Bombyx mori: one gene and its partners. The protein of the gene in region 3 purifies or fractionates together with the protein of the main gene of each other region. This does not show direct contact. Links are inferred from orthologs where the notes say so. Each region holds a gene or a part of one and is shown on either strand. Other genes may lie near its edges. The genes, in order: DDB1- and CUL4-associated factor 7, viral IAP-associated factor homolog, T-complex protein 1 subunit eta and telomerase Cajal body protein 1 homolog.

Region 1 (8,334 bases), on a different chromosome or scaffold from region 3:
AGTTTAGAATTAGAAAACATATATGTACTTATAAATCTCTCGGAAATTATTACATGTATTTTAGAAAATAAGCTTATATTTAGTCTTAAAATTCCTCTAGTACTCATTGATACTTATACTTTGTATAAGACAGTACCTATACCAGTACCCCATAATGTAACATCCAAATCTTTTGCACTAATACTACCTACATGTTCTTATGTGGCCTTAAATCAGAGAAAATCGAAGTATCTTAAACTCGATAATCTTTCTAAATGTAAATCTATTAATAAGGAAACTCATATTTGTAAACAATTAGATGAAATAGATATACAAGACTACCCCATCTGTGAAACAGAAATAATGACAAAAGTCTTGAAATCACTTCCGAAACAGTGTAAAACTAAATTTTTATACGGCCATGCCAACATATGGCAATCCTTAAATAATAATAGATGGGTCTTCACACTATCTGAACCCACTAAACTCAACATTGAGTGCACAGACGAAACTACCGAATATATAGTTTCAGGAACAGGCATATTATCCCTGAAACCAAACTGCACTGGATTCTGCAAAAACATAAAATTAATAAGTAAAAGTTATCCTGAATATAAATTCAGTCACATACACTCAGAATTCAATTTAGTAAACGATACATGTTGTAACCCAGCAGTGTTTGAAAATTATAATTATACCGAATCTATTACAGGACTGCATAACTTAGAATCGAATAATTTAGACCAAATAATCAACAAAGCTGATAACATGCTACAAACCTTAAAACATTTAAAATCTCAGAACGAATCTATTTCGATAAGCACTCCCCATTCCATTGTCACATACTTATTTGTAATACTATTTGTTATTTTTATATGTTATTATTTTTGTCATAGAAAGTGCGTGGCTTTTGTGCGTAAATCTAAACCAAACGAAAACACGACGCAAATAAACACACCCCCACAAGAAAATATTCAACTAAATACCCAACCGCGAATAAGAATCCATTAAACTTTATATTAAAATAATCATCGAAAACTTCGGAAAGCCGTAAGTTTTCGCTTAAAGGGGGAGCTGTTATAATATTAACTAGTATATTAATTAATTTACCTAAGACCGAAAAGTGCCTCTAGCAGCACTTTCCGGCCTAACATATACTAGAGCCCCGTTGGCTCGATGTCAGTCACTCTGCGTCGTTACTATGAGCCACACTCTTTCTAAGTAGAATTTTGTATCTTCAAAGTGAATAAAATCTTTTTTAAAAAGAGTTTTTCAAAGTCCCGTATAACAGAGCGCATTCCATTACGCTAACCCGACCTTACGAATTCAGCGCATGAACGCCATTACTTCGGTTAAGGACGAGTCACGCTTTCTTTGTTACCACACTGGCCACTGCATTAGGGACCAGTTACATAATAGTTTACCAGCGTAATAAATAATAATAATAATAATATAGCATCCATTATGGATTTGGTTCGGATAGCATTTGCTGATTTCCGAACTTGGAATGATATTAATGATACAATAGACTTAACTTTGTATACCTAAGTGGCCGACATTCTAAACCCGTAGAATACGGATAACGGATACAGAACTATCCGTTACTTTAACAATTCCTGAAATTTGATCAGCATCGATGGAAGGTGTAATTAACTCACGTGGATCATTATGGGACAAAGCAGTCATAATATGTTATATTTTAACTGTTTTGTTTCTTTATTTTAAAATTTAGTTTTAGTTTATTACAGATTTAGGCTATAAAAAATTAATTGGGGCCTTCGTTTTCATTTTTGAAGATTGTTATCATGTAATCACGTTCCGTTTTCTATTGCATCTGGTTTCTAGTTACCACGAAATGGGGAACACACAACTCAGGCGAGCAGACAGACGCTCTTCGAAACGTCATGGCATTCGAACAAAGCGCCTAATAAAAAGTTTTACATTGCCAGTGTACTTTATTGCTATTAATTAAATTCGGGCACTTTAAGTATCTATAATAATCTTTAACATAGTTATGAGTTAAAAAGTTATACAAACTAATAAGTCTGTCCTTAATTTTTAATTAAGAAACTGAGACTGCCCAGGTATCTAGGCAATAAAAAAATATTATACACAATAATAGAAAACGTAAGAAATTTAGAACCTTTTTACCTACGATATCAGATCAGGAATATGGAAATTCGCAGGAAAACCGTAATAACTGACATAGCCGAAGGAATTGTGAGATTGAAGTGGGCAGAGCATTGCTCGTAGAACAGATGGCCACTATGGCTGAAACGCTTTCGAGTGGCGACTGTGTAAAGATGTAGCTTGGGTGGAGCTCCCACAAGGCAGACCAGCTACCTGTTAAATATAGCGGGAATCCGCCGAATGCAGACAGTGTAGGACCGGTCGTTGTGTCGAGGCTTTGGGGGGGCCTTTGTTCAACAGTGGACATCTGTGGATATTGTCGTTTATTTAACTTTCTATACATAGCCTGGTTTTACTACTCATTCAGTTTCGAATAGGTAGCTTACTCATTATTGAATTTTTACCAGGCATATGTCTTCAAATCCAATTTCGTCTTATTGCAGCCAATTTAATTTATTTTTAAATTATTTCATTTTCATTCATAAAATAATTTTCATTACACTTTTTTAACAACTAACAGAGATTCGACATATACTAAAGTAGGGACCCGCCCTTGCTTCAGAAACTGTAATTGATTATTGATTTCTCCACTATTTAATGGATGTTATTATACATATAAACCTTCCTCTTCAATCTCTATCTATTAAAAAAAGCGCATCAAAATCCGTTGCGTAGTTTTAAAGATTTAAGTATACATAGGGATATAGGGACAGAGAAAGCGACTTTGTTTTATACTATGTAGTGATGAGGTTTACTCGCAGATGCTAAATTCCCGTTGCCTAGTCAAAAAACGAAACGAAAAAAAATTAAAATGTCAGATTGTCCTACTTGCCAGTTGTCAAATTTTGTAAAAATAATGCTTCATGCTTGTTTTCTCCACACAAAACTAAGTTTTTAGTTAATTTCCAATTATAAAATACATTAATTGAAGGTACAGAAGCTCATGGACAGTTCAATATTTAAATAGGTATATTTAAATCAAACATAACAAAGCCGCTTGGTGGCCATTCTGTGATATTACGGCAAAGGTACATAAAATATATATTTTTTGTAAATTTAAAACCATATGTAAAAATCTAAAAAATATAACTTGAAAGGTATGAAAACTTACGTACTTGAAAGACAAAAAAAATAAAAAAGTCACTATTCATTAAAATTTCATATAAATATCATTTTGATTTGTGTTTTCAGAAACATTAAACATTATCAGTGATGTCGATGCCACACAGCAGTTCGAGTACCAGTTCAGGCACGAAACGTAAAGAAATATACAAGTAAGTAACGTTACAACACAATATGAACTATAAATAACAGATTGGAAATAATTGACAGTATAAAATACAGAGTTGACCCAATTTTGAGATTGCTAATTATAATTAGGTATAGCGTGTTATTTATTTCTGTACCCATTCCTATGTTTCGAAACATTTGTAATACAATCAAGCAGGCATTATGGGACTTACTAATTTAATGCTTTAGATGTTTTGAAATATACAGATAATCCTTTCACAATTCCCGAAAAGAACTAAAGTGATGTTAACAAATTGCAAAAACAGCCTTATCTTGATAATTACGTACGAAATTTGAGTTGTTCATACAGTTAGGTTAAATTCTCATAAACGAAGTTGTGATAAAAAAAAAACACTATAAGCTAGACAGCTGCATTTCTATGTCACACATCTTTTACAGATACCAAGCGCCATGGCCATTATACTCAATGAATTGGTCTGTCAGACCTGACAAGAGATTCAGGTTAGCCCTGGGCAGTTTTGTTGAGGAATACAACAATAAAGTAAGCTTTTACAGAGCAGTTATTATATTAATTTAGTAATTTACAAAACATACCAACAGGATTAAGTAAATACAGTATAAAGGCCCAGATAATGAATCATGCAAAGCTAATGCAATTTTAGGGAAGTCAATTTGTCAAAAATTTCCCACTCATTGAATTATAAAAGATAGAGGTGTGTGCCTTATAATCTATAAATGCATAATATTACCAAAGAAAATACACAATAAATTACATATTTTTGTTGTTGTTCATTTTTCAGTAGTTGACAGAATTGGTAGGAGCACTTAGTTTGTGGAGGCTGTTCTTATAGACCAAGTAGACAAATACAGCAAGAAAAAAAAAATTCTAAGTAATTATTGGTGCATAATATTACTTACTTAATTCCACCATTAAATTAGTAAAAACTCAACTACATACTACTAATTAGTTAATTGTTTAGCATAATATACAAACATATAGTAAGTAAACCAGGAGTTCCCAAGATATATAACCCACTTAGACACACAATAACTTGACCGCAAAGGTTTTAATTGGTGAGTATGTTGTATGAATAGGAAAAGAACTAGGGATAGGGTTTTTTAAATAATTTGGGTATGGGGTTTTGAGGTATCAGTTCATTTTAAAAAGGGGTCTGCCAAAAATTGTTTTATATTACCTAATATAAATGAATTTATTAGTTTTCACTACATTGAAGGATTTTTAGTGAAAACTAATATATTAATGGTTTCATTTAACACACATACTGTATTGTAGCATTCCTTGTGCATGACATAAGCTTAATAAAACTCTTAAATCCTAGGTACAAATAATTTCCCTTGATGAAGACACAAGTGAGTTCACTGCAAAAAGTACCTTTGATCACCCGTACCCGACCACCAAGATTATGTGGATACCTGATAGCAAGGGGGTGTATCCAGACTTGTTGGCAACTAGCGGTAAGACTTCGGTAGCAGTTTGTTAGCACTAAGATTACCATATTTAATATGGAGATAATGAGGCTTGAATTTACTTTTACACTGCTACATAGACAAAAACATATACTCCCAAAAATAATGCTTACAATATCATCTCTCTCTAGAGAAACAGTATTCATGATAGTCTTTGAGCTCCATAAACCACTGAATTGTACTTAACTGAGCCTGTCTATCTCCTTTGTCGTCATATCACTCTTGTCAGAGCGGTTGTGGTCGTCATTCAGCATCATTGCTGAGGGCAGATGTTATGCGCCTCACAAGCAATCGCTACTCCTCCCGGTTTGTGGTGAGCCTGGTACACTCATGCAAACAATAATAATCAATCTACATAAATAAAAATAAGTGATACCCTATGAGTACAATATGAATGATTGTGATGTTAATAGAGGCAACTTTCGTTGACATAAACAGTTTTGATAAATAATCAAATTCAAGTAAAACTATTCAATAAAATTTCACAATGGTGCCTTATGTTGCAGGTGATTATCTACGCATATGGCGTGCCGGAGAGCCGTACACATTATTCGAATGTGTCCTAAATAATAATAAGAATTCTGACTTCTGTGCTCCTCTTACATCCTTTGATTGGAACGAAGTGGATCCTAACCTCATTGGCACCAGTAGTATTGACACGACCTGCACCATCTGGGGCTTGGAGACTGGACAGGTCTTGGGCAGGGTCAATGAAGTGTCTGGGCACGTGAAGACTCAGTTGATCGCTCATGATAAGGTTTGTGATTTTTATTTAATAGAAGATCTTGTTAATTCATTTGTGTCCAAAATTTATGTTAATGATTATCTGAAGATTATTGGTGTCTTCAAAAAATTTTCGTTCTGCGAATCTAGTATAACCCCTCGAGGTTACAAGAATATGTTGAAAAAAAAATTTTTTCAAATCAATGTATTCAAATATGTTTAAATCACTTATTACAATTTTGACATGATACATATTTATCAAACTAAAGAATTGCAGGATTGAAATGGGCATGTTACATACGTGCCCGATTTCATAATGATCACATAACATTTTAAGTTTTAATGTAATCATAAGCATGTAGTGTGAAGTATATTCAAGGATGCTCACAACAGATACTAATAGAATTTTATTCTATTGGAGATTCCATTAAAAATCTATTAGCATACACAAAACTGGTGGTAGGACCTCTTGTGAGTCCGCACGGGTAGGTACCACCACCCTGTCTATTTCTGCCGTGAAGCAATAATGCGTTTCGGTTTGAAGGGTGGGACAGCCGTTGTAACTATACTGAGACCTTAGAACTCATATCTCTAGGTGGGTGGCGTTATTTACGTTGTAGATGTCTATGAACTCCGGTAACCTCTTAACACCAGGTGGGCCGTGAGCTGGTCCACCCATCTAAGCATTAAATAAATAATAATAAACAAAGCCGAACGTATACGCCCCTATCTGGTTTTATACACCTTGACATAATACAAGATGCACTCTGCGTGTACATCTTGCTAGACACTGTAAAGTGATGGTTACTTGAACAATAATTTGTCCTTGTCTAACTCGCCTTAGAGAAAGGTGGCTGAACAAAACTTTATATACATGTGGGGGTATACGAAAAAAAGGTTCGACGGTCCGAATGTGGTCGTTCGGAACCTGCATATAGGCAAGCTTATTAAGCTATAGCAAGCTTGAAAATGTCGTAAGCGAGATTCGGGCATCAGTCAAATATCTTGTGTCGTGTGATGGCTACCCGCCACATGCAACTTCTCGCGTACGGCAGCCCTAATGCCGGTGTTTGTGCGCAGGAAGTGTACGACATAGCGTTCAGTAGGGCCGGCGGGGGGCGAGATATGTTCGCTTCCGTGGGCGCCGACGGATCCGTCCGGATGTTCGACCTCAGGCATCTAGAACATTCCACCATCATTTATGAGGTAAGTACAGGAGGCAGTAAGCAGCGTCTTTCGGCGCTCGTGCATGGGCGCATACTATCATTATTTGGACATGTCTCCCGGCGAGTAAATGACTCCATAAAGCGCCTTATCGTTCAGGGCAAAGTAGAAGACACCAGACCGCGTGGAAAGTTGCACATGCGATAAACTGACCAGGTCAAGTCAGCTATTGGCGGCTGTTTGCCTGAGTGTACCAGGCTCACCACAAACCGGGAAGAGTGGCGATTCCTCGTGAGGCGCATAACATCTGCCCACAGCAATAATGCTGAATAACGACCACGATCGCTCTAACAAGAGTGATACGACAAAGATAAAGATTCAAGAGGCCTGCGGCACGAATGACTAACACAATGAAGGAATGCCGCGTTAAGTCCGAGTTAGTTGACCATGTACTGTGGTAGTAAGACGTCTTGTGAATGTGCACGGATAGGTACCACCACCCTACCTATTCTTGTTGTACTGTGAAAAGTGAGGCCTTAGAACTCATGTCTCAAGGTGGGTGGTGGTATTAACTTTGTACACATCTATGGATTCCGGTTACCCCTTTAGCACTACGAGGGCCGTAAACAGCAAAGTAGAATCGGCAAAATTGCGGAATTTTCACTGTAGGTAGTAAGATCGATATCACAGATCTGCAGTATCGGGCTGCAAAACAGTCGTCTGTGAGGACCCGTGCAGTTTGCCTGTGAGCGCCACGAACTGGTCTGATCGTGTTTATGTTGAGAAGCTGCTGTCAACATAACAAGTCTTATGGCAGACTGTAATGTAACACGCAGGACCCTCAGCACACCCCGCTGCTCCGCCTGGCCTGGAACAAGCAGGACCCGAACTACCTGGCCACCATCGCCATGGACGCGTGCGAGGTGATCATACTGGACGTGCGCGTGCCCTGCACCCCGGTGGCCAGGCTCAACAACCACAGGGCGTGCGTCAACGGCATCGCCTGGGCGCCGCACAGGTTCGTAGGCCAGGTAGTAAAGTAGGAGCATCAAGGTTGCTAAACAAGCCCATCCGATATCTCCTCCTCTGGGACTGTGTTCCTCAGCGCATTATACGCAAAAGATAATTTGCGTAATGACTGGTGGTAGGACCTCTTGTGAGTCCGCACGGGTAAATACCACCGCCATGCCTATTTCTGCCGTGAAGCAGTAATACGTTTCGGTTTGAAGGGTGGGGCAGCTGTTGTAAGATAATGTAATACTGAGACCTTAGAACTCGTATCTCAAGGTGGGTGGCGTATTACGTTGTAGATGTCTATGGACTCCAGTAACCACTTAACAACCGGGTGGGGTGTGAGCTCGTCCACGCACCTAAGCAATAAAAAAAACAATGTTCTTGTCGTCAAGTTCTTAGAACTCTTCAAACTAGACTGTGCAGCCGAAAACACCAACTTTTGTTCTAATTCAGTCCGTAAGGTATGCTCCTTGTATTGTGAACGGACCACAATAATATAAATAATAGTTTAAAAAAAACAAAAGAAACGCTTTTATAGAAAATCCAACTAAAAAATAGAAAACAAATTTTAATAAATTTGTTTTT
Region 2 (8,169 bases), on a different chromosome or scaffold from region 3:
TCAGTTTAGCTAAATTAAGTTTGTTTTCGTATTGATATTACGAAAGAAGTTGAATCTATGGATCAAACTTGACCTAAGTTTTGTTAATCTTTGGTTTAAACCACAATCGATGTTACGGGCCTTAAGTGACAATAGTTCTCAGGATTCAAGGAAGTTCGAACGGAGCAAAAACCGAAATTATGTGTCAAGAACATTCGAAAGATTTTTTCACAAAGGTACTTCACACACTTAAACACAATGTGACCTTGATTAAAGGATAATTCTCTGCAGCAGATCATAGCCATGACTACAATTTTATTTGGCTGCTATGTTCATAAATGCTCACATATAGACAGACATTAAAGGCACAAGGTGAAATTCATGGTTTAAAATTGTAATAAAGTAAGTCAGTTAAAATAACCGTAAATTCATAGTATTCAGGGATCCAGTCAAACCCTTGTAAGCTCGGTCCTGCACAATCCGGCACATGAAGTTCCCTCTCACACGTAAAACAACATACAACTCAATTACAGCAACATTTAATCTTCCATTTTCCCCATAGGAACTTCATTAAGACAGTTAGGGAACATTTAAAGCCATAAATAGCTAAGATAGATCTAGCCAATGGACGGCATTTTTACATAGATTATATGTACTGTAAATTCGTCGAAAAGTAATTTAAGAATAAAATACAGCTATAATCTATTGCGTTGCGTAGTAAGTATTGTGTGTGCGTATGTCATTGAAAAAAAAACCAATGAACAGCAAACATATTTAATTGTAAATAATCAAATACAGATGTAGATTCTTATCATATTTACACTAAGTCTTCGTTTTATTTTAGTAATTATATATTGGTATATGTGTATTTAAATTAAATGACATGTAATTGACATTAAAGTGTTGCATGGAACAAAAAAAATTTTAACATTTTTTTTCATTTCTTCATAATTTCTTAAAACAAAGGTTTTAATCAATTATGCTACAACAGGTAACCGAGCCGCTCTTGTGTTAGTGCTATTCCTCGTTACACTTATCAGTTTAGATCTATACATACTACGATCTGACATTGATTGTACATAAATACACAATGATTAACCACATATTATAATGTCGTATAGGGTAATTGTCAACGTAAAGCATGAGGCGCTGGTAGAATACTCATACTATGAATTGATGTGCACAAATTGGATCAAAGTCTTAGTTATCAGGGAAGAGTACTTAAACATATAGAATAGCATTTACTCCACGAAAGCTAGAAATACAATGAAGCATTAAAACCCCAAAAAAGTCCCATAACTGGGTATACAAACTGTATGCGCTTGATGAAGTACTAATCAGACTATTTTGTTATTAGCATCCGGTTACGAATTGTATTTATGGACAATGAGTAAATAAACAAATAAATTAACATTGTGCATTAAAAACAAGAAATTAGTAATACTACATCCCAGAAGGCAAAAATTTTCAATATAACTTTTATAAATACAATAAGGCAAAAATATATTCATATTTTCATAAATAATTTCATTCTATTAAGACAGACATGATTCCCGCCTTCGTTATAAAGTTTTGGATAGGCCCTAGTGTATGTTTGAACGAAAAAAATTACAAATTCATTTCTTTTAGTCTCATCTACAATACATTTGTATAAAAATATATTTGTTACTATATTATTGAACTAAAACCTGTAGCCCTGTGTGAGTGACCAACTGCGCTGCGACGCGAGGCTTATTTGTCCTCATTTATAAGAGGTCAGTGAGCAAATTTTTTTTTTTCAAAGGATTAAATAAACAAATGCCCTTTGACCTGACCGTTTAAATCAAAATATATGACTTGAATTTCATACAGTCACATACTTTCGCAAGTTTTGTTGTAACAATTAAATCTAGTTATATCAATTGTTTGCGACTAAAGAAGTTTTAATTTTTATTTGAATCAATTACCACAAAAAGACTGCCATCAGACATGGGTTAACCGGTCTCTGTATATACGCCATTACTATAGATTTTTTTTTACAACGGGGTCCTATATAACAACACAAGTTCACTTGATAATGATGCTCATTTAGCACAAACCTTAATATATTAATTTAATACAGTTCACATAAGAAGCTTTTGATAAGTAAAGCGACAGAATACAGTTTAAAAAAAAAACATACTGTTAGATGTAACATAAAATATAAATTAACTTTAACATAAATTAATATTCTAAAATCACCAGTCATTACTTCCAAGGTCAGTAAACAACTTGTCTTTGATCTTTGGTCGGGGATCTTCTGTTATGCTCGTTTCGACAGCTCCAACCTTACCGAGTATGTATTCGAGTTCTGGAAATTCAAATACATTTATTTTATTACTTTCCACTAGCTCATCTCAATTTGACTATAATCACTAATATCTCACGGTTCAGACTCATTTTATTCATTATATTTTCATTTTTGTCTATTTTTCAATGTCAATATAATTTAATTCATACATAACTCTATAACAACCACTACAAAAGTGAATTGATTCACAAAGTTCACATAGAACTATTGGCCATGCTATATAAGGTATCAAGCTATCAATTACCATCATTTAAAAATTGATTTATTCACAGCTACTTCAACTACAATACACTGTATTGAAGTTCACTCTTGGTGGCAAAACGGATGCTTCTCAATGGAGACTCACATGTTATACTGCTACTGACTAAATTACTACTACTGTATTAAATTTGCTATTGGTGAGAAGCAAGCCTTGTGGTGCTATTGTTATATGATAACAATCACTAATAGTAATCCTTACTAAAAATGTAACCAATTATAATTAAATTAAAAAAAAACTATAAAAATCAATTCTCATAGCTTACCATCACAAGTCAAACTGGTGCCCCTTAGTTCGTGGGACCCCACAAACTGCTGCTTCATTTCGCCCTCAAAGTAAACAAATAAACTAGGCAGATTCCTCTCTGGGAAGTTTGGGATGCAAGTCTGAGCAATGGCTTTCAAGAATTTTGTGTAGGGAAACTTGACTGCTAATTCTCGTAGATGTTGATTTATTAGTGCACATTGTTGTATTCTGAAATTTTTTGATTTATATGATTGATAATAATCATTGGAGCAGTCTGCAGATAAAGGGTCATAATGGCCCAATGACATAAAAAGTCAGTGCTAGGTTATCTAGAGGAAAAAAACTACATACATTGATATTGGTTTATCTAATGTCTTTATATCTTATTCATCGTTCCACTCACCCCTGTTTGTACAAATGAATGACCACCCAAATGTCTTGACCAGCCTTGTTAACCTCCTGCACATAATCTTGACCAGAGACTTCTCGCACTTCTCCGAATCTAGGCTTCTCAGACAGCTTCTTAATTTCTGCTAATCGTTTCCTGCGGTACTCTTCTATAACAGCCTCATCTTCTGAATCTTCAAGTTCGTCCAATCCATCAAGGTCTAACTCAGATAATTGTTTTTGTTCTGTGAATAAGTAAAAATTGTTATTATTGGAGACCATCACAGTCAGTCCAGTTAATTATGTAGTTTATAGTGTTCAAAACACTTGCCAAGGGTGGCTTGAACTCTCGTCCTCAGCATACAACTATCTACGATGGTGTTTTGGCTGATGTTAAAAAAAGTGTCCCTATCAACTGAACTGGCGTTCTACCAATGAAATGAACTCATTAACTATCCTATCAATTCTCTGCACCCAATAGGTGATGATTACTACATTTTTGAGGGAGTCACTTCTTAAATTCGTAGGGTTAATTGTTCAGTATGTCAGAATGGAAAACAAAACACAAAGTTAATTGTAAATTCATAGCTGAACATTTATAATTATAATAATACAGAGTGTGACTAACATTTTGTCAGATCTTTAAGAAAAATATTTCTTTAAACATTAGTAGTGTCTTAACATGTCTTGTTATTCCTGAATATTTTCAATTTAGTTTATATATAAATTCAAGCAAATGTATTTTGATGTAACAAATAATCACCAAAAAATTCATAATTGGTGAATATTCATTATCTATGCCAGTACAAAAATGAATGCGTCCCACTTAACTGTACTTACTAGAGCTAATTTAGGTGATGAGTCTCGCTTGGCTGAACATTTCATAAGGTGTTGGATGCAAAGAATTTTTTTAACAAAATGATTGAATTGCAGAAAGAAAACTATTAATTTGGTGACTGTTTAATTCCAGGATTCATTTAGTGTACTGGTGATGCATATCAATTATAAACTAGACTAGTCTAAAGGAATGTATAATGAATAATGAAATTATAGGTACTTAAACCAAAAAGTTTCGAAGTTCATTACGTTCAGTGTTTCCGGGTAATGATTCACTGTTGATTACTGATGAGCCAATACATATTGCATTTACATCGTAGAGCTTAACCTCAAAAATTCGTATTTGTTGACCTACTTTCAGCTTCCTTTTGCTGTATTGTGTCCTCTATCATGTTCACAATATCGGCCTCCGAAAACTCCGCTTCTTTCTGCGGTATAATACCCATCTTTCGAAGGGTATCGTTCCATTCTGTATCTTCATTGGGGTTCTAAAAATAAACAACAAAATAAAATTAAACTTTTCACTTTAATGTACTGCACATCATTTTACTGATAAGTTCCATTTATTATACCTGCATTTTATTAAATTAACAATTAAAATTCTAATAGTTGAAATACATAAACTTGCTCCAGCTTTTCAGGAAATTTGACACCAGATATTTTTTCCATAGACTTAACATTGAGACAGGCAAAGGAAACTTTGTCATGAAATATGTAGAACAATAGGTACCATGACATGGGGTAAATTGGGATCCTGGGGTAAATTGGGACAAACCTGCGGAAGATTCTCAAAGTACCTGTAGCACGGAATTTACCTAATTTTGTTTAAGTTAATATTTATCAATGTATAGAAGAAAAACCAAGTTAACTATGGAAGTACTAAATATGAGTTAAGTTGGTCCCAAAAATTCGTCAAATTAAATTGAAAATAGTGGTTGAAAAGTGAGTTTTAAAACAGCTTAAAGAACTTTTAAAAAAAGTAATATTATCGTTGTTTTTTCAATAAGATCACAGTTTATATAAGTTTTTAATACACCTGGAAATACCACAACAAACGGTAAGTTGCAATATTCTTATTTTAAATACAATATTTCGACAAAATAAAAAATGTATATTTTTTCCTTTCTTTTTGGGGAAAATTGGGACGTATGTAGGGTAATTGGGAACGAGACTGGAAAAATTAGGGACGAGAAAACACAAAATTGGAACGCCAAAAGACAAAATAGGGATGGCTTGTTAGGGTTGTCACTGATATCTTATAATAGATTTTTTAGCCTATACTATCACTTAATTGCGTGATGTAAAGAAGGTTAATGTGTTTATCAGTTAGTTTATGTAAGTATTATAGGTAAAAGAAAAGTATATATATAATTACTTTTTTTCGCGACATTTACCTTGTAATATCTGCCCGGTCGTATGTTCTTTATAGCAATAAAAAAAATTAAAAGTTAAAAGAACTCAAACGAATCAAAACTTTTGTTATTTCAGAATCTATTCACGCATCGAATCATGATTTTGTTAACATTCAAAACGCACACACAAATAAAAACAGGCCTCAGATTTTAAATGTAACATTAATTAAAAATCCGATATATCCAATTATGAGTGAGTGAATTAATTGAGTTTAGTTATTTAGCTTAGAAAGAATTTCTTTTATTTTTGTTATTATTGGCAGTAATCAGATAAAGCTGTTTTTTTATCTTATTCACCTGATATCTTACTCTTGCTCAAAGATTATTTTGAAAATGTTGATTAAATAAAATTGTATTATTGCATTTCCAGTCCTTTTGTTTTCTATTTTTTATTCTATTTTATCAATTTGTTTCAGAGTTGTGATTTTTAAGGAAATTAAATAATAATTTTCTAAAATATAACATGCACATACTTTTTTTGATCATTGTATTGTTGATTATCATTCACGTCACATCGCTTCGGAATAGAAACCAGCTTAATTTACACTATGTTGTGTATTGTGCTTAAATTATGGATTGTATTCATCATTTCGGTCCATATAAATAATTATATGGCACCTACCTATATATCGCAGTACTGCGAGTTGACAACCCTTACAAATATCCCAATTTAACCCTTAACCGTGTCAATTTACCCCGGACGCTGGGTAAATTGGGACGGCCATTATTTTACCGATTATTTCTTTAAAATGAATAATTAAAATTATGTAACGGTTTTTATCACCTAGGTACGTTCAAGACTCAACTTATTTATTTGGTTGAGCAGTGACTATTTTATTGGAACTATTTTAAAATTCAATCTGAAGGTCGATTTTGTCCCTATTTACCCCATTGTACGGTACCTACTGAACCTGTCATTAAAATTTAGAAAGAGTTTTAGAAGCCATTTTCAGTGAATTTCGTTTTTCCACACACACACAAAATAAATGGTTAGCCTACAAATACTCTACGATTTCAAACTGATCAAAAAAAGCCAAACATTGAACACATTTTTAATTACTTGTTACCACTAACGCCAAATGTTCCAATATCATTTGAAAATAATGTGAAAAACTTAGCATGCAAGGGCTAGATCGATGTCATTTAGATATTAAGAGAACTGAAATGTCTATGAGATTCAGTAACCATTTCATCACCTCGTCTGTCCAAGGAATATGATTCTGAAAAAGAACTAATAAAATCACTACCATCACTTTAAATGAAAAAGCTGGCTACGCCCTCTATAAATAAAGCTTTGATTTTAGCAGTTTTATTTGACACTTTTATCGTTTAGCAAGATTAAATAATTTGTACAAATTACATAAATAAATTATTTGACTCCACAAAAGTAATCATATAATACTCTCTCAATTTCTATCTCTATGTATAATTACTTCCTAAAGATGATTGATTTAAAGGTTCAGGCCATAAAATCATAAAGAATATCACAAAAATGACAGTTTCAAATGGAATCACGACTTTAACCCATAGCTTTAACCGGTTTTTTGTATTTACTCCAGAATTGACAAATGACACGTCTATCAATTTACGTAAATGTCAACTTGTCAATATTGTCAACCAACCTGCGTCGTGTTGGAAAAATTTTACGTCGCTATGTTCAGTGAAGTTAGTGTCCGTAATAAATAAATTGAATATGGCTGAAAACGAAGGACATAAACATCGGGAACGCTATGACCATGAGGGAGAAGGTAAATTATGTTACGATTTTTCTGTGTATAGTCCGCGGTTAGTGTGTTCGACGTCCGCGCGAGGCTGAGACGTCTTCAGTACCCTCGTGTTGCATTTGTGACATTGAAATTGGGTTCTTTTTATAATTGCTGCGTGGATCGTGGTCCTGGGCTGCCAGGAACGGAGCGCACGGTCAACCTCGAGCTTTGACTGGTTCATTAGGCATCAAACTTCGTGAGAATGACCGGGGGATCCGAGAAGACGTTCGACTCAGGTATTTGAGTGTTGTTTGTTTGTTAATGTAGTTATTTCGCTACTCCGGACTTAACGTTTAGCCGCGTGATACATGACTGTTGTTATGTACTAGATTTAACCTTTCATAATTACTTGAACTTTGGTCGCTCGTCGAGTATTGCATTAAACACTTTTTTCGGTATTACTCGTCACTATTTAATACGAGTCTCTCGTATCATTACCAGACCAATCATATGCATTATGCTTAACTCCTTAAAAATAACGTGTAAAACATGCATTAGCTGGAATGTCATGCATAAACTGATAATGCATTGTGATAAGATCTTGTTTTGTAAAACAAAGAAATAAAACACCACAAGGTTATTAAGTGGGAAGGAACTTGATTGTTTTATTATTGCAAGCTGAAACATATGTTTACTATTTGATCTTTAGACTGTTTTTTACATACATATTATTGATTGAATAAGTAAATAAAAAACAATAATTAGGCAAACAATACTATAATCTAGTCATCATTCTTTCTTGTATTTTAAAAAACAGGTAGGCTTGAATTCTTAAAACTAACAAAACATTACATTATTACCAATTTATGAACTTTCATCTGAATTATTCCTATTGATTATAAGGAGGAAATGTTTTACAAGAATGCAATCACTCATGCTTGTTAGGTTTATCTAAAATGCTGATATCATAAGTTGTTTTATGTCCCATGTTTTCAGATTTTCCCATACATTTTT
Region 3 (7,601 bases):
TTAGCTAGCTTTATATAGCTAGAACAGCTGTTCTACAGTACAGTTGGGATTCTGACTTCTAAGTCTTGAGTGGGTAAGGACATTTGAGCTATGATGTAGCACGGTCACTGATGAGTTTACCAAACCAAGAGGGCCATGACTTATTCACCAATCTAACATTGTGATTATATTGATATTGAGATTATACAGGGAAATTAATTATAATATATAAACTAAAGACATTACAGACAATAGGAAAGAGAGATAGGCTAGTAGTATCTTGATTATAGTGATTAATAGTACCTCTACTTGACTTGAGTACAAAGGGTTAATGTAATCATTAATGAGAAAGAAATTTTAACAAGTTGTGACTTTCAGCACTTTTATCATTGTAGCTTAAATTTAGCCATCTACTCTAAATAAAAAAATTGGTCATTGAACTATATGACGTCTTTTCTCTTAAGCCGTTTACTGTAACTCCGTTTTTTCAAGGCGGCAGCCTTACTGTTTGGGTGCTTTTCCAATCTTTCGTGGTGTTTTTGTTTAGATTTTGCTTAGCTTAAATTATAGTCTTAAAAGTTTGGATGATTTATGTTCACAGCAACCGCAAATACTTTTACTGAGAGAGGGAACGGACCAGACGCAGGGCAAGCCCCAGCTCGTCTCCAACATCAATGCCTGTCAACTTGTTGTCGATGCGGTGAGTATTGAGGGATCTACCGGAAAACGGTTTTACATTTACACCCTTTTTTTTCCTACCTAAGCTGAGAGTCTTGAGAGGCTATATCAGTGTTGCCTTAATTAGTAGGTGAGCTCGCCGGGGTACTCAAACCTGATGACGTAGCTGATACTAGCAAGAGCCGTGCTTCGCAGAATCTACCACCGGATCGGAAACGCGACCCACTGACAAGATCCGGCGAGAAACTCAGTGGGCTGTGTTTGAGGGTTGATCACACCCAATGCTTATGGTCAGCTATAGAAATACTTTTTAATCATCATGCCCATACCACTGATTTGCGATACAGGCATTACATACGCGATCCTGTAGACCGAATGGTAAACAGTCGGCGTCGCCCTAAACACGTCATTACGGATCCGCCCGATCCATTAACGGTACTTTTAGGTACCACAAGCACTGGTCACCATCCTCATCGCACCCGTCGCTTGCGATGAAGGGCTCGACGAGTGAATTTGCCCATAGACAGCTTAATGAGTTTTTCACCGGATCTTCTCAGTGGGTCGCGTTTCCGATCCGTTGGTGGATTCTGTGAAGCACTGCTCTTGCTAGGGCCAGTGTTAGCAAAACTCCCGGGTTAGGCCCCGTGAGCTCACCTACATGTCAAGGAGAAGCTGAAATAGCCTCTCAATGCTATCAGCATAGGTAGGGATAAAAAAAATGCAATTTCAATCACTGCAAATCACTGAGAGGAATGAGCAATAAATAGGCTTACCAATCTATCTATCTATCTCTCTGGTTTATGGCGTTTCCTTTTAGATTTCGCCAATGTCAAGTGTATTTAATACTCTGCTTTCTATAGCGGGCTTCGTGAACGAGCAAGGTCACAGATATTCACTAAGAATTAAGTGACTAGCTAAGAATGTTTGATGACAGGATCTCTGTTGATGTACCTAAAACAAATAAGACGCACACAATATATATACAGGGGTTAGTTCGATAACAGACAGACAAACTACAGCTTAATATTATTATGGTTAATGAATGAACTAAGAATATAAACGAAAGGGGAGTTGACAAGGGAAAGAAGAGATTTGAGATCAATGGGGCGAGGAATATCAGGAGGAAGGAGATCAAAATAGGCTTACTCTTTTACAAATGTATTATGGACAGAGTTTTTTTAAGTCTGCCCATACAAGGATGAGTTGATCTAACACAAGTCTACATTAAGTACAGGTGTACTGAATACGTTCGGTTTCGCTCAAACAAATAAACTAGACAGTAATTTTATTATCATCTAGCTGCATGCCTCCTATGGACATCATGTTTTTACATAACTGCTGTTTTATTCAAAATAGTGTTAGTGATAAAATGGTACATCCAATAAATATATATGGATAATGTAGCATGTAGACTATATCTAGAAGAAGAGCATTGAGGGAACGACCAGAAAGAAGACTATATCTACACTATCACAATAAAATAATCGAGTAATGTTTTGTTACGGTACTAGAGGAGAGGATTGCACTACTACTATGAATAGACGAGTTATGGAGTACAGTAGAGTCCCACATACCTCGTAGGAGGTTCTTGGCCATGGTCCGAAAAAAAAAAAGGGAGTACAGTAGAAACTTTTGAGACCACACAGTCTATCTCTAGCATCCCGCCATATTGCTCAAGTTGCGGACTATGTTTTGTTGTTTAAGATAGTAGGTACTGACTTGATCAGTATTTCAGTAACCCTTCTTGTTACAGGTCAGAACCACCCTGGGTCCCCGTGGTATGGACAAGCTGATTGTAGATCACAATGGAAAGGCGGTTATATCAAACGATGGTGCAACGATCATGAAGGTAGAGGCTTTTGCTGTTGGAAACTAGGACTGCTTGACTGTGTAATTTTCAAAGCCTATGATTAAAACATACGGATCCAATTACTGAATGTTCATGTGGATCATGATAGTAGAAATGAGGCTTTATGCTAAACAAATCATCTTCTCGCATTGAAACTGTATAATCGCCAAACTTACTTAAAGTTTAACATGTGATATTTTTAATATTAATAATTTTTGCAACATTAATTTTTGTTATTTTTTACCAGTTACATTATCTGTCTATTAAAGTAAGATAAAATTATGTATTCATTTTGTTAATAGTAGTCAAAACATAGGTATACTAAAAAAAAAACTAAAACTAAACTATGCTCTTTTGACAGTATTTATGAGAAAAATACTGGTGGTACCAAATGATTCCGCATACTAACTCAATTTCGAATATTTTTTGGAAATTTTACACTTTTAACGTGAAAAGGCGAAATTACTTGAATGATTACTGTTTCAAATATAATTCTGATGTGGTTCTCAAGTATAACAGTGAGCTCAAATCACTTTTCCAGCTTTAAATGCCACGAGCATGTGGCAGATTGTGAGTTCACCCACCTTCTACAGGCCAAAGATCGAACTCTTAGGTGTATTGTACACTCTGTCTTACTTCTAAGTCGTACTTAGGACTTACTTATGAAGTCGTCGTGGCCTAAAGGATAAGACGCCCGGTGTATTCGTATTGAAGCGATGCACCGGTGTTCGAATCCCGCAGGCGGGTACCAATTGTTCTAATGAAATGCGTACTTAACAAATGTTCATGATTGACTTCCACGGTGAAGGAGTAACATCGTGTAATAAAAATCAAACCCGCAAAATTATAATTTGCTTAATGATTGGTGGTAGGACCTCTTTTTAGTCCGCGCGGGTAGGTACCACGACCCTGCCTATTTCTACCGTGAAGCAGTAATGCGTTTCGGTTTGAAGGGTGGGGCAGCCTTTGTAACTATGCTTGAGACCTTAGAACTTATATCTCAAGATGGGTGGCGCATTTACGTTGTAGAGGTCTATGGGCTCCAGTAACCACTTAAAATCGGGTGGGCTGTGAGCCCCAACTAAGCAATAAAAAAAAAATTTTAAAGCTATTGTATTCGTTTAATTTACAATTTTAAACATTTAGAGCTAAAAAAAAACAAAAAGTATACAAAAATAAAAATACAAAAAAAAAACATGGTTAGTCTTTTTTTTGGTTTTTATTGTCTTCCTATCACATATTTTAAGTGAGATTTAGGGAATATTTGTGTAATGCCAATTACATTTTTACTTATGTTACTACAATTGAAGTAAGAGAATGTAATTCATTTTTTCAGCTACTGGATATCATTCACCCTGCCGCTAAAACTCTTGTGGATATTGCAAAGTCTCAAGATGCCGAGGTAATGTACTAAACTTGGACACCTTCATTCATAAAATTGTTAAATGAGAGCAAACTATGGACGTATTGGTGTCTAAAATAGAATATCTATACATTAATACGTGAAGCCAAAACTTTGTACCTCTTTTTTTTGCATGGACAGAGAAGGAGTGCAGAATATTAATTTTTTTTTTTAATTATGCATAAATACAATCTATAAAAAAAAACATTACAATATGTATTTGACACAATATACTCCTTGATTATTTTCTATGATATCGTATCATGTCTAGATGATCACCGTTACTTAAGCCTACATTACGTAAGTACTATCATGCATTTCGGTGAACATCTCAAGAAAATTCAATGATTAAACAAACGGATCCAATTTCCTAATTAATTAATTGAGGAAAATTTAATTTATGGATGAGAATAAAATCATAAAAACGGTTTCGGCAATATTTGGTTTATTATATTTAACACTTGAAAATTAATCCAGGTTGGCGATGGAACCACCTCGGTAGTGATATTGGCCGGTGAAATTCTGAAGAGGTTGAAGCCGTTTGTTGAAGAAGGTCAGTCTTTTGTCTCTTTTTTTATGAAGTTGGTGAACGAACCTGGATGTTGGCAGTATTCTAACAAATAGTACATTTATAAAAATCTATATATATATATAAAAATGAATTGCTGTTTGTTAGTCTCGCTAGAACTCGAGAACAGCTGAACCGATTTGGCTAATTTAGTTATTGAATTATTTGTGGAAGTCCAGAGAAGGTTTAAAGGGTAGATAACTATGAAAATGCTCTGAATTAAATAAAAATAACAATTTTGTGTTTTTCCTTTGATTTGTCCCCCGTCAGATGGATTCCTTTTGTTTGTTATAAGTTTATTTTATACAAAAGTTTAGGTCTTTTATTTATCGACTGAGTCACTACGAAGTCTGCCAGGTCAGCTAGTACATTTATAAAAATAAATATATAAATTTTGTCCTCCAAAGGTGTTCACCCTCGTGTTCTGATCAGAGCAGTCAGAACAGCGTCAAGACTGGCCATTGAGAAAATCAAGGAGCAAGCTGTGAAAATTGATAATAAGTCGCCTGAGGAACAAAGGTAATGAATATAATAGGTTTCTATTACTTTTGTGGTTAGATCTTTAACTGATTAGAGTTTAGACATTTGAATTGTCTTGTATACAATGTTGATGATTTTAATTAATAAATGACCTTTTATATAATAAATAATTGACAGCCGATGATTAAAACATACGGATCCAATTACTGAAATGGTTGTGTGGATCGTGATAGTAGAAATGAGGCTTTATGACAAACCATTAAGGTTTGACTGGCTGGTAGTACGGTGTGTAATGAGTCTGTGCCCCGGTCATCCGTCATGCTGGGAAGCAGTCACTCATCCCATCTGAAGTGTAGGACAGCCATTATATGATACAAAGGCATACATACACATATGATGTCTATGGGTAGTAATAACCATTAATCATCAGTCAGTTTTGTTCTTTCGCTCAGTCCAAAAATTATTAATTGTAAATTATATGCTTATATCAACAGAGATCTCCTATTGAAGTGTGCATCAACAGCGATGTCATCGAAACTGATTCATCAACAGAAGGATCACTTCTCTAAGATTGTTGTTGATGCTGTCCTGTCTTTGGACACTCCACTTCTGCCTCTCGACATGATTGGTGAGTTTTTAGGAAGTTGGGTTGAGACTATACTGTTTCTGAAGCCAATTTTGTTAATCACTACCGGACAAATGGATATCAATATTCATCTTCAAAGTTAGATCTAAATACGTCTCTTTTCGCATTAAAAGTGTACAATTTCCAAAAATATTCGAAATTGAGTTAATATATTTTATGTAAACAATTGGTATCACCAGTATTTTTCTCATAAATTCTGTCAAAATGGCGCAGTTTAGGTTTTTTTTTCTTTTTTGCTTTCCTATGTTTTGACTATTATTAACAAAATGAACACATAATTTTATCTTACTTTAAAAGACAGATAATGTAACTGGTAAAAAATAATGCAACGAGCAATGAACACTTACACATTTCAGAGGTCAATGAACAATACAGTGGGAGAATTATTTTTTTTATAACTATTAGACTTGTAAACGTTAGATGTTGCTTCTTGCAGGAATCAAGAAGGTTCCCGGTGGAGCTCTTGAAGATTCGTTCCTGGTTCCCGGAGTGGCGTTCAAGAAAACTTTCAGTTACGCTGGCTTTGAGATGCAGCCGAAGACATACAAAGACTGCAAGATCGCACTCCTCAATATTGAGCTGGAATTGAAAGCTGAAAGAGACAATGCCGAGGTGGGGATCTTACAATATCTAAATGTTACCAACGTTAATAGTGATGTGGAGCCCACCTGGTGTTAAGTGGTTACCGGAGTCCATAGCATCTACAACGTAAATGCTGTCACCCACCTTGAGATGTGAGTTTTAAGTTCTCAGTATAGTTACAACGGCTGCCCCACCCTTCAAACCGAAACGCATTACTGCCTCACGGCAAAAATAGGCTAAGTGGTGGTACCTACCCGCGCGCAATTATGCAAATTATAATCTTGCGGGTTTGATTTTTATTGCCCGATGTTATTCCTTAACAGTGGAAGTCGATAGTGAACATTGTTAAGTACATATTTCATTAGAAAAATTGTATCCACCTGCGGGATTGGAACACCGATGCATCGCTAGATACGAATGCTCCGGACGGAATCTTATTTATCCCTTAGGCCACGACATTGTAATATTATGTAATGAGTCAGAAGCAGCAAACACAGATAAAAATAAATAAGTTCGTTATTGTATACTAGCGACCCGCCCTCGCTTCGCTTCGGAAACATTAAATTTTATTATTGATAGCCGAGTCCCGTGATTTTACCCGCGGTTATTGTCGTACCGCGAGTGACGCCGCGGGGTGAAACTTGTCTAAAAAAAGTAGCCAAAGTTACTCCTTATATCATCAGCTACCTATCAGTGAATGTCCCGTCAAAATCGATCCAGCCGTTCCAGAGATTAGCCGGAACAAACAGACAAAAATTGTATAAAATGCTATTTTGGTGTATGTAATATATCTGTTGATACTTCTTAATTATTTATTTGTATTAATCCCACATTAAGGTTCGAGTAAACAACGTGAGGGAATATCAGAAGGTGGTGGATGCTGAGTGGCAGATCTTATACGAGAAGCTCGCCGCTTTGCATGCTAGCGGAGCAAATGTGGTCCTCAGCAAGCTGCCCATCGGAGATGTTGCCACACAATACTTTGCGGACCGGTATGTGCTGTTTATTTATGCTAGCTGCTGTACTGACCGAGGCCTTACCTTTATTGGGCCTACAACTAAGAATCTGCACTCATGGCTATGAATATAATTAGTAAAAAAAAAAAATTGCGTATTTACTGGTGGTAGGACCTCTTGTAAGTCTGCACGGGTAGGTACCACCACCCATAAAGCAAAAAAATTTTTTTTTTTTTTTTTTTTTCAAAAAATATAATATGTGGTAAAATCAGGAAATTTTTATTCTAAGATGGGTAGACAACCTGGTGTTAAGTGTTTACCAGTGCCCTACAATGTCAATAATCTAAAAATCCCCAGAAATTAGTTCTAAGTCCTAGTTTTTATAGTACGAAGGTTCACCCTGCTCTTCGAACCAAAACACATTATTGCTTTGCATTAGAAATGGGCAGGGTGCGAGCGGA
Region 4 (8,126 bases), on a different chromosome or scaffold from region 3:
TGACGATATTTTAATGATGATGTTTTCTTGATTACGATCTTGATGATGACAATAAAAACCGCGAGATTATACCTTAACAGTAGTTTTAATTACTTAAAAATGTTCTTAAAGTTTTTAAACTTATATTATCAAAAGATTAGAACTATTTTTCATATGTTTACTGTACGAGTAATCACTGAAAATACTTTATAAAAATATATTTCACTTTCATCAATGTACTAATTTGATCAATAATGAATAAAGGTTATACCTACCGTCCTTGAACGAAGATAATAAAAATTGCGAGATAATATACTTTCCAAAGTAACTTTTTTGACTGCATTTCAGTTAATTTATTTTGAATTAATTGAAGCGTGACGTGTACAACCATTGAGTGAATTTTGATGATATTTTAAAATAAAACAAGCCACGCCACAGCGCCTTTAGTTGTGTGAGATCTGAATTTAAATACATAAAACATATAATAAAATCTCCGTGCTAACCTGCCTGAGAGACTTTGCTAACATCTACTGTAGCAAGAGTAGTGCTTTATTGAATTTATTGCCGGATCAGAATCGCGACCTACTGATAAGATCCGGTGAGAAACTCAAGGGTTGTGTCTGTGGGTTAATGTATAGTTGTGGTGTCACGGCGGAGCACACGTTCGCATACTGCCCCGCTTTCGCGAAGCAGCGCCGCACCCTCGTTGCAAAAATAGGTCCGGACTATGTGCGGCAGCGACGAGCCCTGGCAGGCGATGCTCGACTTCTGTGAGTCCACCATCATGCAGAAGGAGGCGGCGGAACGGGGAGAGAGAGCTCTTCTTTCCTCTCGGCGCCGGGCCACCGCCACCGAGCCGGGAATTGGAGGAGGGTGTTCGTCCAGCTCCAACCCCTGTGAAGAAGCAGTCTCCTCCCGGTGATGTTCACGGGGCGACCTGAGGTAGTCGAGGTTGCGCCACACGCTATTGTCACTGTAGCGTGCTGGCATGTGACGACGCATCTTCGGAAGCGGTCCGCGATGCGGTCCGCATTGCCGTCGTCGCTGTCGTCGTCGAACATACTGTGGAAGAGCAACCGTATAAGGGGCAGGGGAGTCGTTTAGTGCGGTAGGGTCCTTAAATAATTTTGGACCTACGGTCTGCTTCCAACATCTGCAGATCGTCAAGTCTCATATACCCTGCGTGCCCCCTAGGCGGGGGAACCTCATGGGAGGTTCAGCCCCCGGCCCCAAAAAAAAATTATGTTGTTATGTATGTACGACCGTTCTTGTGATTGATCATTCCCGATCTCGAGATTATATTTCATCCCATATCATCTCATTTCATTTCATTTCACTCCATATAATTATCATTTTTCATAAAAATAAGAATATTATAAATTAATATAAGACATGACCTAAAGATCTTAGTTACCAGGTCATAAAATCCCTTAAAAAAAAGTAAGGCGGTAAGGTCGATTGACGAACGACGATTTTGTTTTTATTTTGAAACCGTGAGCGGAATAATTGTCAATTTGTTATACATAATCACAAATTGTGTTGTGATCTACCTTTATTATGGAAAATTGGTCAATGGAGACACCATCAAGAATAAACGCTGAAAATATACCTCAAACCATAACTCAAAATCCGAGTGAACTTACATTGGGTTCGGCGTGTACAGAAAACGCTTTTCAATATCCAGCATTATTTACAAGCAAAAGCTTTCTTGAATTGTCCACTTGCTCGTGGTCAAGGGGTCGTAATGCTAATGAGAATATACAGCCTTATTTACGTGGATGTAAGTGGTCCCCAGATGGAACCTGTTGCTTAAGTGTTGTCAATAACGATGGTGTTCATGTTACCGAGCTTCCTAGTGAATTGTACCAGGGCGTTGTTTGTGGCGATCGTATAATCGATGTCTTAGAATCAGTGATACATTTAAAAGAAACAGGTTCAGTTTACGACTTCTGTTGGTACCCATTCATGAACAGCACAAATCCCCCTTCCTGTTGGTGAGTGAGATTTAAAACTCAATATTTGGTCTACAATGGAATTGATGTAAATATAAAATATCGTTACTTAAATATCAACCAATCTAAAAATTAAAAAAATGCTCAGTGCCTTATGACAAAGGTGTACAACCAATGTGTTTTACCAGTGATGACGTACGGTTCTGAGATATGGTGTTTCACAAGGGAACTTTTTAAGAAGCTTAGTGTCACACAGCAACCTATAGAGAGGGCTATGTTTGGTATTTCTTTATGAGATCGAATCAGAAATGAGGAGATCCATAGAAGAGCCAAACTTGTTACATAGCCCTAGGATTAGCAAGCTGAAGCGGCAGTGGGAATGCCATATAGTACGAAGATTGACAGCCGATGGGGCAGAAAAATCCTTAAATGGAGACCACGTACTGTCAAGTGCAGTGTGCCGTGTACCAGATGGGCTGATGACATAGTGGACATCAGTAGGAGAGGCCTATGTTCAGCAGTGGACAGGCTGAGATTATGATAAAATATCAATTTTAGTTTGTCAGTAAACATAATTTCTCTTCCTTTAAAATAAGGAGCTGAAATAGATTTCTTAAGAAATGCCTAACTTTCATGTAACTCAATAATTTTATTGACAGCTGGTTAACAACAAAACAAAATTCTCCCATACAAATGTGGGATGCATTTGATGGATCACTCAGATGTTCATACAGAGGATTCAATGCAGTAGATGAAATGGAACCAGCTTTATCAGTTAGCTTTACCTCAGATGGTAGAAAAATCATTGCTGGCTATAAGAAGCATTTAAGAATTTTTGATGTTGAGCGGTAATTCTTCATTATCAAATTTATCTTAAAACTTTAATTTCATGCTCAGTGTGGGTATTTAAGCAAAGCTTAGACTTGCTAATAACTACTTTATATCAAGGCAGGAAGCTTTTATCGTATCTATACTAATATAAAGAGAATTTGTTGTATGGAAGTAAAATCTTTTAATATACTCATTAAGTTAGTAATGTGCTCAAGATAGACAATTTTTTTATTTCTTTGATTGGTATACAACTAGGTTTTAAGTGATTACTAGAGCTCATAGACTTCAACAACATAATTGTTGCAATCCTGCCTGAGTTCTAGGTCTATTTTATTTGCTTGTATATTAATCAGTAAATTTTTTAGGCCTGGCAGAGAATTTACTGAGCAAAAGATTTCTAGTTCAGCATCTAGCATTTCAACACAAAATAACTTAGTTGCTGTTGGTTCTTGGAATACAACAATAACTTTGTATAATGAATCAGAAATTGGTACTAAGAAAATTGGGGACATGTATGGACATGGAGGTAAATAGCACTGAATAATTGGTGTAACGTTTGTTACATATTGTTATATATATACCCAATACCTATATATACCTAATCCAGCCATAAGTTCTGTTTCAAATGAAAATGTTTTTTTTTTAATGAAGTAAAAAGAAATGAAGTCAGCAAAAAATAAAGAAAAATATTCTACTTGAAATGGCCACCTTTGGCTTTTATACAGGCCTTTAATCTGTTTGGCCATGAAACTATGAATTTGCGCACTGTTTCCAAGGGAAATTTCACTGCTTGCTCCAAAGGTTTTTTAAGACTCAATGTCGCTGTATCGCTTAGAGCAGGCCATGTTCTCTAAAACTGACCATAATTTCAAGTCTAATGGTTGAGGTCTGGGCTCGGTGAGGCTGGACTTCAGCTCTTACAAAGTCTGGAACATTGGTTTCAAGCCAGGCTTGGGTAGTTCCTGCCTTGTGACCAGGTGCAGAGACATGCGGGCCAGTCCACAGTATATTTTTAAAAAGTGTATTGCTGAGAGGTTTTACAGCATAATCCAAGACATGGATACATGGACAATGATACACATTGACTGAAGTTTTCACTTTCTTTTTCACAAAAATATAGCTTGTGATTCCTTGATAAGACACGCCCCACCAAACCATCACTGATGCAGGATGATGACCACTTTGTACCTTTCCTACCATTTCAGCAGCTTCTTTAGAACTGTGAGTGTACACTTTATCATTTTGTTTATTGCAGTGTTCTTCAATAGTGAAATTTTTTTCATCAGTAAAGAGAATATTTCTGTGCCTTTCACCTGCATATCGCATCAAAAGGCATTTTCATTTATCCAATCACTTTAATTATAAAGATTGATTTAGGGTATATCCTGCGAGCTTCAGGTCTTGTTTTATAATACGCGACAGAGTCCTATCGGGAATCTTCATTTCTCGCTATAAGATATTTTGCTGCCTAATTCGACGGATTCTGGCTTTAACAGCATTAAGCCTTTGTAGTTGTAACAGGACGCGGCTGCACCGATCTTTTCTGGTCTTCGACAGACGAAGTGTTGTTTTATCTGTTGATAGTTCGATGTACCAACATAATGGCTGATACCTAGCATTTGAAGTGTCTGGAATATGACCGACGGCTCAATACCCACTTTGCGCAAGGCGATCACTGCAATCCTATTTTCCTTAACACCACATTCCTTTGTCATTTGATAATGAACACGAAAAAATATCTGAAATGGCGCAAAATCGAAAGAAGTTTTTAAAATAATATACATGTTCCAAATACAAAATAATTAAAAAGTTGAAAAAAAAGAAAAGTTTTTATGTAACAGTATTTATGGCCAGACTAAGTTATATAATAATATATAGCACAACAAGTATATATTTTTATCAGAAACCTTAAATCCTTTAAGTGCATTCATAATCATTTAGCATATTCATGAATATTCATTTGGCTTTGCGAAATGTTTTGATTTTTTCTATTGCTTCAGGTGGAGTAACGCACATGAAATTCATTCCTGGTACTTTGAAGCTTGTTTCTGGTGCAAGAAAAGATCACAGACTGTTTGTTTGGGACATACGGTATTATAGGAAACCACTAAACATTCTGAGTAGAGTTGTAAATACGAACCAACGAATTTATTTTGATATATCACCTTGTGGAAAATATTTGGTATCGGGTGGTACAGATGGAGTGGTAAAAGTTTGGTCACTTGATCATATAGATTGGCATTCTAGTTTAGATCCAGTTAATAATACAACTGATGATGTTACTTATAAGGTATTATTTTTAATTATATTAATAGCTTGTGTGCTTTATTTTAAAAGCTTTTATTGAAAAAGAGTAATTGAATAAATAGTTTAATTTTGAAGCCTGCATGACATCACAATTGTACAGCTACTGGATGAGATTCTATTTTACTATTTAATGAATATATTGCTTACATGGTAATTAATTTGACGGCTTAAACTCTATTTTTGACTTGACTTTTTCATTTTCAGTTTCCTTTATACAAAGATTGCTGCAATAGCATATCAATTCATCCATATAGACCCATATTGGCTACCGGATCTGGTCAATATCATTTCACAGACCCGATAAAATCTTTGAGTGAGAAAACGAATAATGAAGCCGTAGATTCTAGTTCTGATGATTCTATTAACCAGTATGATATACGATACTCTAGTCACAGTGAAAATTGTTTGACGTTCTGGTGGACTGGGGATGTTATAGAATTAAATAAAAACCTACGTCGTTGTGTTTAAGCAGATGAATCTTTATGTATTTCAATTTATACATTTGTAGTTGATGTTGTGTGAAAAAATGAATGTGATAGATGAGTTTCCACTTTAAAAAAATTTACATGACTTATGTTGACTCTGACCTTCAAGCCTTCTCTTTTCTTATGTTGGCTGGCAATCAAACTGAAAGTGTCAAAAATCTTTGTGATTTTTTTTGGTTCAATAGTATTTATCGAGTAGTCTGATATGTAGATATGAAGAATATTTTTTATATTGTCTACCCTATTTAAATACCCCCTATTTACAAGTATAGTTAAAGTGAAAGGTTTTCAACTATAAAGTTGAAAATAACGAAGTTTGGGGTTCCCGGTCTACTTATTATCATTTAACATTTTACTGGTGATAGGACCTCTTGTGAGTCCGCACGGGTAGGTACCACCACCCTGCCTATTTCTGCCGTGAAGCGGTAATCAGTTTCGGTTTGAAGGGTGGGGCAGCCGTAACTATACTGAGACCTTAGAACTTATATCTCAAGGTGGGTGGCGCATTTACGTTGTAGATGTCTATGGGATCCAGTAACCACTTAACACAAGGTGTGCTGTGAGCTCGTCCACCCATTTGAGCAATAAAAATAAAATAAAACATTCCGTTTATGACCTACATACAATAATTTTATGTTGATAAACACGTTAGTTCGTTACTTAACAGTATCAAACAATCGAATAGTGGACTTTTCCCAAGGCTAATTCGGTTTCCGGCAGTAACAAGTAGATCGATAACATGTCATTGTCGAAAGCAAAGACGATTATGAAAATTTGCGCAAACGTTTATTTTTTAAATCACAACTACCAAAATTTTGTTTAGTTATGATATATGTATGTAAATACTTATAAATTGAGACTAGCCCTTGCATAAAGTCCGCTTAGAAATGTGCGAAAAATTGGCAATCTATTGGCCTATCTCAACCGCAAAACACGTTTTGGATTAAAGGGTAAAATTTAATAACTTTTAGATCTTGTAATGATAAATATTCGAGCAGATTTTGATAAAAATGTTTGGTAAGTTATACGCGGTGTAAAATGTAACTACCCTCGAAGCTGCAACAAAGGTGCTATGCAAATCATTAGCGAAAATCGGGAGACGAAATTGATTTCGGGAATGATTCGCTTCCATTGATAGATGGAAAAATGTGTTGAGAGTGAAATGATCGGACTGAATTTTAAATTTTGACTTTTGAGTCACAATTGCGAATTGCATAAATTTAATTTAAGCCCACGGTATTCCGTTTTCGGGCAAAAATACTTAAACATTCCTTCAAAAATAGAATTTTGTATTGATAAATGTTCGACTGACTTAGAATTATTATCCCATTTTTCTAAAAAAAAGGGCTTAGGAACGGAATGTTCGTGAAAATTGAGTGCCAATTTTAATCTATTGTACTTTTCTATACATATAAGTACTGTTATCACTAATGTTAAGGAAGAAAGAGGGGAGTGACGACAAAAAACGTGTAATGAATTTAAAAGTAATTGTTTTTTGCTGGCACATAGCCGCGACTTAATGTGATCTTTAAAAGTTTATTCTTTTTATTTGCCAACTGATCGTAACAAAACACTTCAAAGATAGTATATGCTTATCAAAATTATCTAAGGCCAATTCGTTCACTCATTGGGGAAACGACTAAGTTGTCCAAAAAAAGGTGCATAGACTAAAAATAAAAATTATCTTTATGATTTTATTTAATAATACGTAGACATAAATAACATATTATCAGTTCTCTTTGTAAAGGATTTTATTTCATAATACGTACTTAGACATAAATAAAATATCAGTTCTCTTTGTAAAGTTTTGTCGACGTCATCCATGGAATATGATAACTCGATCGATTTGCTGACTGTAGTCCTCAGATCCTTGTAAAGCGGCTCAGTTTTATTGCCACGCCGAGACCTTTGGCGTCCGTAAATCTTTATTAAAATGTTTTATGACGATTGCCTTATACGCGTTCAATCAGTTTCGGATTGTTGGGTTCAATCGAAACGTAACTAATACGATATATTACTCAAATATTTAAACGTTTTGTTTGTTTGAAAGCTTATCTATTTGCAACCTCTTTTTCAGGTCTTCGTCTATATATATGTAATAATGATATTATATAGGATAGTATTAAATATGTATTTTTCACGTGATATTAAATATTACATGAAAGTGTCGACGATTACAAGATCCTCGTCGACATGCTTGATGAAATTTGATGGCCCGGTAGGCTTAGTGATTAGTGACCCTGGCGACTGTACTACAGAATTCAGGTTTGATTCCCGATCGGAATCTATCTTTGTAAAATTTATTAGGCATTTTTTGCACATATATTTTTTACATGTATAATACAGGAGAGGACGATATCCGGAGGCCGTTGATGGCCTAGAAAAATAGAAGCTAGTAGAGAGATGATGCATGTGACTAGGAGATGTATGGAAATAGCAATGCAAGGTAGAGGGGGAAGAGGTCGACCGAAGAAGACATGGATGGAGTATGTGAATGACGATATGAGAGACAGAGAGGAGGGAGTGTCAAGATGACGGCTGAGAGAAGAGAATGGAATAGAAAAATTCGCTG

What was found.
Region 1: the proteins of T-complex protein 1 subunit eta (region 3) and DDB1- and CUL4-associated factor 7 purify together in Homo sapiens (affinity purification with mass spectrometry; 4 studies listed by BioGRID and IntAct, counting the BioPlex papers as one, with this or other methods). This does not show direct contact. The link is inferred for Bombyx mori from reciprocal best matches to the Homo sapiens genes CCT7 and DCAF7.
Region 2: the proteins of T-complex protein 1 subunit eta (region 3) and viral IAP-associated factor homolog purify together in Homo sapiens (co-immunoprecipitation; 4 studies listed by BioGRID and IntAct, counting the BioPlex papers as one, with this or other methods). This does not show direct contact. The link is inferred for Bombyx mori from reciprocal best matches to the Homo sapiens genes CCT7 and PDCL3.
Region 4: the proteins of T-complex protein 1 subunit eta (region 3) and telomerase Cajal body protein 1 homolog purify together in Homo sapiens (co-immunoprecipitation; 3 studies listed by BioGRID and IntAct, with this or other methods). This does not show direct contact. The link is inferred for Bombyx mori from reciprocal best matches to the Homo sapiens genes CCT7 and WRAP53.

Annotation. Positions count from the first base shown.
Region 1 is NC_085118.1:1,107,917-1,116,250, reverse strand, and holds the start of DDB1- and CUL4-associated factor 7, read left to right. Parts: upstream 1-2,906; 5' UTR 2,907-3,137; intron 3,138-3,300; 5' UTR 3,301-3,321; coding exon 3,322-3,383; intron 3,384-3,798; coding exon 3,799-3,901; intron 3,902-4,700; coding exon 4,701-4,836; intron 4,837-5,354; coding exon 5,355-5,605; intron 5,606-6,651; coding exon 6,652-6,777; intron 6,778-7,571; coding exon 7,572-7,753; intron 7,754-8,334. UniProt on the Homo sapiens protein: Involved in craniofacial development. Acts upstream of the EDN1 pathway and is required for formation of the upper jaw equivalent, the palatoquadrate. The activity required for EDN1 pathway function differs between the first and second arches.
Region 2 is NC_085131.1:761,651-769,819, reverse strand, and holds viral IAP-associated factor homolog, read right to left. Parts: upstream 4,766-8,169; 5' UTR 4,616-4,765; coding exon 4,610-4,615; intron 4,526-4,609; coding exon 4,393-4,525; intron 3,446-4,392; coding exon 3,217-3,445; intron 3,042-3,216; coding exon 2,833-3,041; intron 2,309-2,832; coding exon 2,196-2,308; 3' UTR 738-2,195; downstream 1-737. Other genes in the region: atlastin, read left to right, coding at 7,143-7,197. UniProt on the Homo sapiens protein: Acts as a chaperone for the angiogenic VEGF receptor KDR/VEGFR2, increasing its abundance by inhibiting its ubiquitination and degradation.
Region 3 is NC_085130.1:19,009,469-19,017,069, reverse strand, and holds part of T-complex protein 1 subunit eta, read left to right. Parts: intron 1-580; coding exon 581-679; intron 680-2,410; coding exon 2,411-2,506; intron 2,507-3,842; coding exon 3,843-3,908; intron 3,909-4,385; coding exon 4,386-4,461; intron 4,462-4,883; coding exon 4,884-4,995; intron 4,996-5,450; coding exon 5,451-5,584; intron 5,585-6,038; coding exon 6,039-6,214; intron 6,215-7,021; coding exon 7,022-7,176; intron 7,177-7,601. UniProt on the Homo sapiens protein: Component of the chaperonin-containing T-complex (TRiC), a molecular chaperone complex that assists the folding of actin, tubulin and other proteins upon ATP hydrolysis.
Region 4 is NC_085124.1:10,450,178-10,458,303, forward strand, and holds the start of telomerase Cajal body protein 1 homolog, read left to right. Parts: upstream 1-1,399; 5' UTR 1,400-1,536; coding exon 1,537-1,973; intron 1,974-2,590; coding exon 2,591-2,779; intron 2,780-3,127; coding exon 3,128-3,288; intron 3,289-4,762; coding exon 4,763-5,052; intron 5,053-5,273; coding exon 5,274-5,537; 3' UTR 5,538-8,126. UniProt on the Homo sapiens protein: RNA chaperone that plays a key role in telomere maintenance and RNA localization to Cajal bodies. Specifically recognizes and binds the Cajal body box (CAB box) present in both small Cajal body RNAs (scaRNAs) and telomerase RNA template component (TERC).